Linked DNA regions of Macaca fascicularis. The protein of the gene in region 1 interacts with the protein of each later gene in a biochemical or structural test. Links are inferred from orthologs where the notes say so. Each region holds a gene or a part of one and is shown on either strand. Other genes may lie near its edges.

Region 1 (3,958 bases):
GGAGGACAATTTTATTTGATAAACAATTGTTTCTATCCAAATAGAATAAACAAGGCTCTATGATGAAGTAAAACACTAAATACACATGCATTTAAAAATGTGTAATTATCTTTGGAATGGGCTATACAGGGATGTGTTTTTTAAAATGTAAAGAGTGTAAAAGGACATACAGTGAAAAATAAATCTTCCTCTTATTTTGTCCTCCAGTCTTCCAATTCCTCTACTCAGAGGTGAGAACAGAACTTCCACACCCTCCAGAATCTCCACAGTTAACTGTCTACATGTTTCCATTGTCTTTACTTTTATTCTTGCCCGCACAAATAAATGAACTGTTCATTATGAAAACTTCCCAAAAGACCCATTAACACTTCAATAGGAAGCACCAACAGTTTATGCCGTAGGACTTTGTTCCCACAATCCTGTAACATCATATCAGGACACCTAATCCAATCCTTATCAAGCCCTGTCAAAAACGGACTTTAAATCAAACTGCAAATTTTCAGTAATCTGGTCTTGCCTTTCCTCCTCTCTGATAGCACCATCAAACTCCCTTACTGCCGAAAGCAGTAAGTCCGGCTTTGTTCCATCCACTGGTTGTGTTGGTGATATCTAATCTAGGGACTGCCACTGAACAGAGAGGCGCAGAGGGAGCCCCGGCAGGCAGGGGTTTTTGTGTCTGTGTTTCTGGGAGAGTGTGCCTCCTACATTTGTCGCGTTGATGAAGACTTCACAGCTCCATCAGCTGCGGGCAAGGGGGTCTGAGGCCCTCTTAGGCAAGTTGGGGCCCAGCAGGGAGAGGTTGGAGAAGAACTGATTAGGGGACCCCAGGAGGCTTCAGAGCTGGGCGAGGTAGAGAGTCTCCCGTGCGCCTTCTCTCCTCTCTGCAATTCGGGGACTCCGTGCACTGGGGCGGGCCCCGGGCCAGGTTCATGGGAGGAAGCACGGAGAATTTACAAGCCTCTCAATTCCTCAGTACAGACGCTGTTGGGTCCCCTCCGCTGGAGATCGCGCTGCCCCCAAATCTTTGTGAGCGTTGCGGAAGCACGCGGGGTCCGGGTCGCTGAGCGCTGCAGGGCAGGGGAGGGAGCTGGGCGGGAGAGGGCGGGGCGGCGCCGGGGCGGGCCCTGATATAGAGCAGGCGCCGCGGGTCGCAGGACACCGCGGAGACTGCAGCCCCGGACCCCAGCTCAGGGTCCACCTGTCCCCGCAGCGCCGGCTCGCGCCTTCCTGCCGCAGCCAGCGGTGAGTGTCGCGGTATCGAGATCCCCGGGCCGGATGCGTGGTGGCCCCAGTTCCCGAGCATCTGCCTCTCCAGCTCCGGGCTGCCCCGGCTCCCTGGCGGCTACACGGAGTCACCGCGGCCGCTCCCGGGCGTCCCCCGCGGGTGCCGGTCCAGGCTGCCCGGGAGTCCGGAGCCCAGAGAGGAGAGAGACAGCCGGGGCTGGGGAGCCTGGTCACCGCGGGCACCTCCCTTGCACTGCAGTCGCCAGCCTGGCCCGCCTTCCCGCTCCTTCGCCTCTTGCCCTGACTTCTCTTTCCTTTGCAGAACCGCCGTCTAGCGCCCCGACCTCACCACCATGAGAGCCCTGCTGGCACACCTGCTTCTCTGCGTCCTGGTCGTGAGCGACTCCAAAGTGAGTGCTCCCTTGCTTTGACCGATGCCGCCCGAGGACCTCTGATCAGCACCAGGGGAGAGGAGGGGGCTGCTCAGGGAGCGGGGGTCCTCCGGCTTCCATCCATAGCAGGGCCCCTCCGGCTTCCATCCATAGCAGGGCCAGGCTCTCCCCAGGAAATGGGACAGGGTGGCAGCGGAGGCTTGAGAACCACGGGGGTTGGCACTGACCGGCAAGGGAGGAAGAAGCCGCCGGGACTGCCCCAGCCTGCGGGCATCTGGTAGATGAAGCTTGCTTGGGTCAATCTATTTCTCCTTGCTGGAAACCCATGGTCTTCCATGTGAGAATAGATACGAACAGGGTGAGGCGAGAGGGAAGGAAGAGTGGGTTTTGGGACTGGGTCCAGTTTACCCTCACCCTGGAGTCCCTGGAGCATGGGACCTTTGATGAAGCCTCCTCCCGAATCTCTTCCAGGGCAGCCGTGAACTTCAGGTTCCATGTGAGTATCCACCCCTACAACAATTGACTGTACAGACATCTTGGGAAAGCTTCTGGGGACATCCCCTCCCTACCCCTGCTGCAGGGCTGCCCCAGCCCTTATGGCTTCCACTCCCCCTCGCTTACCCCACCTTTGTTCTCTCCAGCAGACTGTGGCTGTCTAAATGGAGGAACATGTATGTCCAACAAGTACTTCTCCAGCATTCACTGGTGCAACTGCCCAAAGAAGTTCGGAGGGCAGCACTGTGAGATAGGTATGGGGATCTCCACTGCAACTGGGAGTTAGGGGGCACCAAAAATTTGGGGACAGGGAGGGATGGGTGGGAGGCAAGAGCAGGCAGGAGTTAGGAGCTAGAGGTGGGGTGGGTGACATCTTCATCCCTATGTGACAAGCATAAACACACTCCTGTGAAGCAATGGCCACACAAATGTGAGGTGCGGTTGGAAGGAGACCCTGTCCAGTCTTCTGGCAGGTCTGAAACCACATCATCTTTAAAATATCCGTTGGCAGCTGGGCGTGGTGGCTCACACTTGTAATCCCAGCATTTTGGGAGGCCAAGGTGAGTGGATCATTTGAGGTCACGAGTTCAAGACTAGCCTGGCCAACATGGTGTAACCCTGCCTCTACTAAAAATACAAAAATCAGCCCGGCATGGTGGTGGATGTCTGTAGTCCCAGCTGCTTGGGAGGCTGAGGCAGGAGAATCGCTTGAACCTGGGAGGCAGAGGTTGCAGTGAGCTGAGATCACACCACTGCACTCCAGCTGGGCGACAGAGCAAGACTTCGTCTCAAAAACAAAAAAGCTCGTTGGAACGTCCTTCTCTTTCTCACATTCTCTCATCCTCCTGTCCCCTCGTAGATAAGTCAAAAACCTGCTATGAGGGGAATGGTCACTTTTACCGAGGAAAGGCCAGCACTGACACCATGGGCCGGTCCTGCCTGGCCTGGAACTCTGCCACCGTCCTTCAGCAAACATACCATGCCCACAGATCTGATGCTCTTCAGCTGGGCCTGGGGAAGCACAATTACTGCAGGTGAGGTGGGGACAACAAGGACCAAGAGTCCTCCCCACAGCTTCCCAGAAACCTTGTTACCATCCCCTTCTCCCGGAGGGCCGGCCATAGCATGAGAGAAGCGCAGTCTCTGGTTGAGTCTTCCCTGAGGGGAGGAGGCAGGGAAGGCCCTCTGGGTTGGAATGACATCCCCTATCTTTCTGTGTTGTCAGGAACCCAGACAACCGGAGGCGACCCTGGTGCTATGTGCAGGTCGGCCTAAAGCAGCTTGTCCAAGAGTGCATGGTGCAAAACTGTGCAGATGGTGAGCATCACTGACCTGCTGATGACAGTGGGGTGGAAGGGGACAAACTCACATGTCCCCTTATTCCATCACAGGAGGGCTGAGGAGGTGAGGGGTGCCCGAGAGGGATGCTTTCTCCTAACCGCCTCCCCAAGACATCCCTCTGTTTGTCCTCCAGGAAAAAAGCCCTCCTCTCCTCCAGAAGAATTACAGTTTCAGTGTGGCCAAAGGACTCTGAGGCCCCGCTTTAAGATTGTTGGGGGAGAATTCACCACCATCGAGAACCAGCCCTGGTTTGCAGCCATCTACAGGAGGCACCGGGGCGGCTCTGTCACCTACGTGTGTGGAGGCAGCCTCATCAGCCCTTGCTGGGTGGTCAGCGCCACACACTGCTTCATGTACGACCCTGGGGTTTCTCCTCTTTGACTCTTCTGCCCCACCCCAAACACATCCCCTTCTCCTTCCCAGCAAAGGGTTCCGCCTCATTTCTCCCTCGTCTGCCCCTCTCCTTGCAGCCCATGGCCTTGGGGACAAGTCATGCTTTGAGGCCT
Region 2 (3,517 bases), on another chromosome or scaffold:
CTGTTTGCACTTTCTTCCCAATATTTTAATTTAAGTTTTAGAGAGAAGTTCGTATGGATCCTGGAAACGAATGCTTTTTCCCATTGGGAAGTCTTCAATGACCCTTCTCTTACCTTCCTATGGAAACTTCTGAACAAAATGCTACAAGTGATTGCTTCCAACTTCTTTTTATTATATTTTATTTTATTTTATTTATTTATTTGAGATGGAGTCTCGTTCTGTAACCTAGGCTGGAATTCAGTGGCACAATTTTGGCTCTCTACAGCCCCCACCTCCCAGGTTCAAGCGATTCTCCTGCCTCAGCCTCCCAAGTAGCTGGAATTACAGGCGCCCATCACCACGCCTGGCTAATTTCTGTAATTTTTAAGTAGAGACGGGGTTTCACTATGTTGGCCAGGCTGGTCTTGAACTCCTGACTTCAGGTGAGCTGCCCATCTCGGCCTCCTAAAGTGTTGGGATTACAGGCATGAGCCACCACGCCTGGCCTGTTTCCAACTTCTTCATTGCTATCAAAGGAAGACCCCATCCAATACCGTCCTTAGCTTATTTCCCAGTTGTCCTCAGCAATCTGGTGTAATGGGGACCGCCCTGCACCAGGGGATAGGAAATCTCAGAGTCCAAGTTCGACACTCACTGCTGCGGTCTCAATGTGTGTGTCCCCACATTGTTCATATGTTGAAACCTAACCCTGAGGTGGTGGTATTAGGACGGGGGGCCTTTGGGAGTTGATTAGTTCGTAGGGGTAGAGCTGTCATGAACAGGATCGGTGTCCTTACAAAAGAGACCACAGAGAGCTGCCTTGCTCCTTCGAGCAAGGACATACTGAGAAGACACCGTCATGAACCAAGGAACGGGCACTGCATCTGCCAGTGCCTTGATCCTGGACTTCTCAGCCTCCAGAACTATGAGAAATAAATGTTTGTTGTTGCTAAGCCACCCAGTTTACGGTATTTTGTTATAGCCACCCAAATGGCCAAAGATACGATCTGTGACCACAGGAAGGGGAGGTGTTAACAATTTGCCTTCCTTCCCAACCCTTCCCACTCTCTCCTCTCCTCTCTTCTCCTCTCTATCCACTCTTGCTTTCCTCAGGGTCAGCACCTGGCAGGAGCTGCAGACGCGAACAGAAATGCTTACAAGGAGTGTCGGGGAGATAAGCAGAGGTCAGCTCTTACTGAGGAGTCCAGGGGAGGCATTTCAGAGGAAGAAGCATTTGTCTGAGGGAGTCTTGGCCTCTATGAGGGCAGAGGGGCCAGGATCTGGGGCATATGGGGGACTGGGAAATGCCCTCTAAGCCCTTCTGGGGTCCGTGTCCTGCCCTGAGTGGCTGAGATGTTGGTGTCTTTGTTATGGTGGCCACAATGGGTTCATGCTTCAGAGCCTGTATGAAAACTGGGGCTTCAGATGATCCCAGGGGTCCAAAGACAGCAGTCAGTTCTTCCTCCATGGAGGAAACAGCATCTTAGGCTCACTAACCCCATCCACAGAGAGAAGGCACTCATCTTGCCTTCTCTGGCTACTTGTTTACTTAATTTTTCTCAGCAGGCACCCAAAATAACTTAATCTACTCCCCGTCCTTTATGTATGTGAGGGAATTGGGAATTCTTTAGAAAAAAGCAGCAGAAAAGCCAGAGAAAGCACAGGTTTGGGCCCAAGGTCCTTACCTTTAAAGAAGATGTAATTCACCATGACCATGACTGCGTTGCTGTCGAGGTTCTTAAGCAAGTCCACAATCTTGCCCTTCGTTTGCTTTGCCACATAATCATTGATCTGCTTCAGGGCTCCCGCAGAGTCCCCAAAGTTGGTGGGGAAAGAGTCTGCCAGGTACAGCGTCTTCATGGCACTCATGAAGGTGTCCTGCACGTCCACCACCAGGTCGGTGAAAAGGGCATTGCCGAGGCTCAGCTGGAAGCCATCTCGGGGCTGGTTGAGCTCCTGCAGGAGCTGCTGAAAGCCTCTGTGCAGCTGCTCCTCTGAGCTTTTCTGGAGGTCGAGGCCCAGGCCCTCCAGGATCTGCCTCTTTGTGCTGGACCCAGCCCCCAGGGAGAGCATGGCCAGGCTCACGGAGATGCTCACAGGGGAGAAGAAGACGTTCTGGCTGGGGGCAGCAGAAGCCAAGGCCCTGTAGAGGTCGAACGTAAAGTCCCTTCTGCTGCTGGGGGCCACCGTGGCACCTACATGGAGGTCCTTGACTCTCTTCTTCGTCTCCCGGGGGTGGTGGCGGTGAAGGGAGGCCTCCTGAGGGCTGAGAAGCACCAGGCACAAGAGGAGGAAGAGCTGCATGGCGGCTGTTCTTTGTTCTGAAAGGGAAAGAAGGTGTCCTCAGAGAGGGGTGGGGCTGGTCCAGGCACTGACTTTCCAGAGATGTCCCCACCCAACACTCAATGGGTGGGTTTGGTCCATTCAGCTTCAAAGAGAAGGGATGGCACCCCCGAGACTGAGGATGAGGGTTTACACAGGGCGGCAGTGGCTCGAGGACAAAGATTTAGGGACAATGGGGAGAGGAAGGAGGAAGAGGAGGTGCAGACCGAAGGCAGAGGCCCGGCTGCCAAGGCAGGAACCCTCCCCGCCCGTCCACATCAAGGGACACATTTTGGAGGATGGGACATGGAGGGAGAGGATTCCCCCTGCTCTGCTTTGTCTCATCAGCATCTCGAGGTTACCAGGGAACTAAGCTGCTTCCATGTGAGCTTCTGGCCTTCACTCTGGTGTCCTGGTTTGGCACATGGCAGGGCCCTGTGGTCCTTCTATGAACTCAGACCAGTTACGCGCCTGGGGCCATCAGCACTGCTGGCCTTGCCCTGTTCATTCAGCACACATGGAGTGAGCATCCTCCCCGGGGTAGGCAGGATACCAGGATGCCAACTGTCCCTTTCTCCTTCCCCCAGGGGCTGCTCCATGCCACCCTTGTCTCACAGAGGGACACCTTCTCCTCCTAAGGGAATTCTGCCTGCCCTCTTCATGTGAGCATCTCCACCGTCCTCCTGTTCTGGGCTGAATTGTGCCCCCCAAAACGCATATGCTGAAGTCCTAACCTTCAATACCCCAGAATGTGACTATATTTAGAGATAGGGCTTTTAAAGAGGGGACTGAGTTAGGATGAGGTCACTAGAGTGGGCCCTAACCCAGTATGACTATGTCCTTACACAAAAATTAAAAAGAGATCAGGAGAGAGACACGCACAGAGGGAAGACCAGGTGAAGACAGTGAGAAGGCAGCCACCTGTGAGCCAAGAAGAAGGGCCATGGGAGGAACAAATCCTGCCGGTGCCTAAGCCTCAGACTTCCAGCTTCCGGAGTTGTAAAGAAAGAAATTTCTGTTGTTGAAGCCCCCTAGCCTGTGAGACTTTGTGACGGCAGCCCATGCAGGCAAAGACATCTCTTCATCTTCTAGACGAGGAGGCATTCATCTCTGACTCGAGAGCTTCTCAGGGGGACCTTTGTGGGGTCTCCCATCACTCCTGACGTGGCCTTTGCCTTCAGTCTCCTCTTCCTCCCTCCACTTCACCCAGGAGCTG

What was found.
Region 2: the proteins of PLAU (region 1) and SERPINA5 form a complex in vitro, tested with the Homo sapiens proteins (2 studies listed by BioGRID). The link is inferred for Macaca fascicularis from reciprocal best matches to the Homo sapiens genes PLAU and SERPINA5.

Annotation. Positions count from the first base shown.
Region 1 is NC_088383.1:72,532,544-72,536,501, reverse strand, and holds the start of PLAU (urokinase-type plasminogen activator), read left to right. Parts: upstream 1-1,153; 5' UTR 1,154-1,242; intron 1,243-1,546; 5' UTR 1,547-1,577; coding exon 1,578-1,634; intron 1,635-2,087; coding exon 2,088-2,112; intron 2,113-2,257; coding exon 2,258-2,365; intron 2,366-2,970; coding exon 2,971-3,145; intron 3,146-3,336; coding exon 3,337-3,428; intron 3,429-3,585; coding exon 3,586-3,805; intron 3,806-3,958. UniProt on the Homo sapiens protein: Specifically cleaves the zymogen plasminogen to form the active enzyme plasmin.
Region 2 is NC_088381.1:162,611,373-162,614,889, reverse strand, and holds part of SERPINA5 (plasma serine protease inhibitor), read right to left. Parts: exon of another isoform or gene 3,223-3,517; intron 2,301-3,222; 5' UTR 2,284-2,300; coding exon 1,665-2,283; intron 1-1,664. UniProt on the Homo sapiens protein: Heparin-dependent serine protease inhibitor acting in body fluids and secretions. Inactivates serine proteases by binding irreversibly to their serine activation site. Involved in the regulation of intravascular and extravascular proteolytic activities.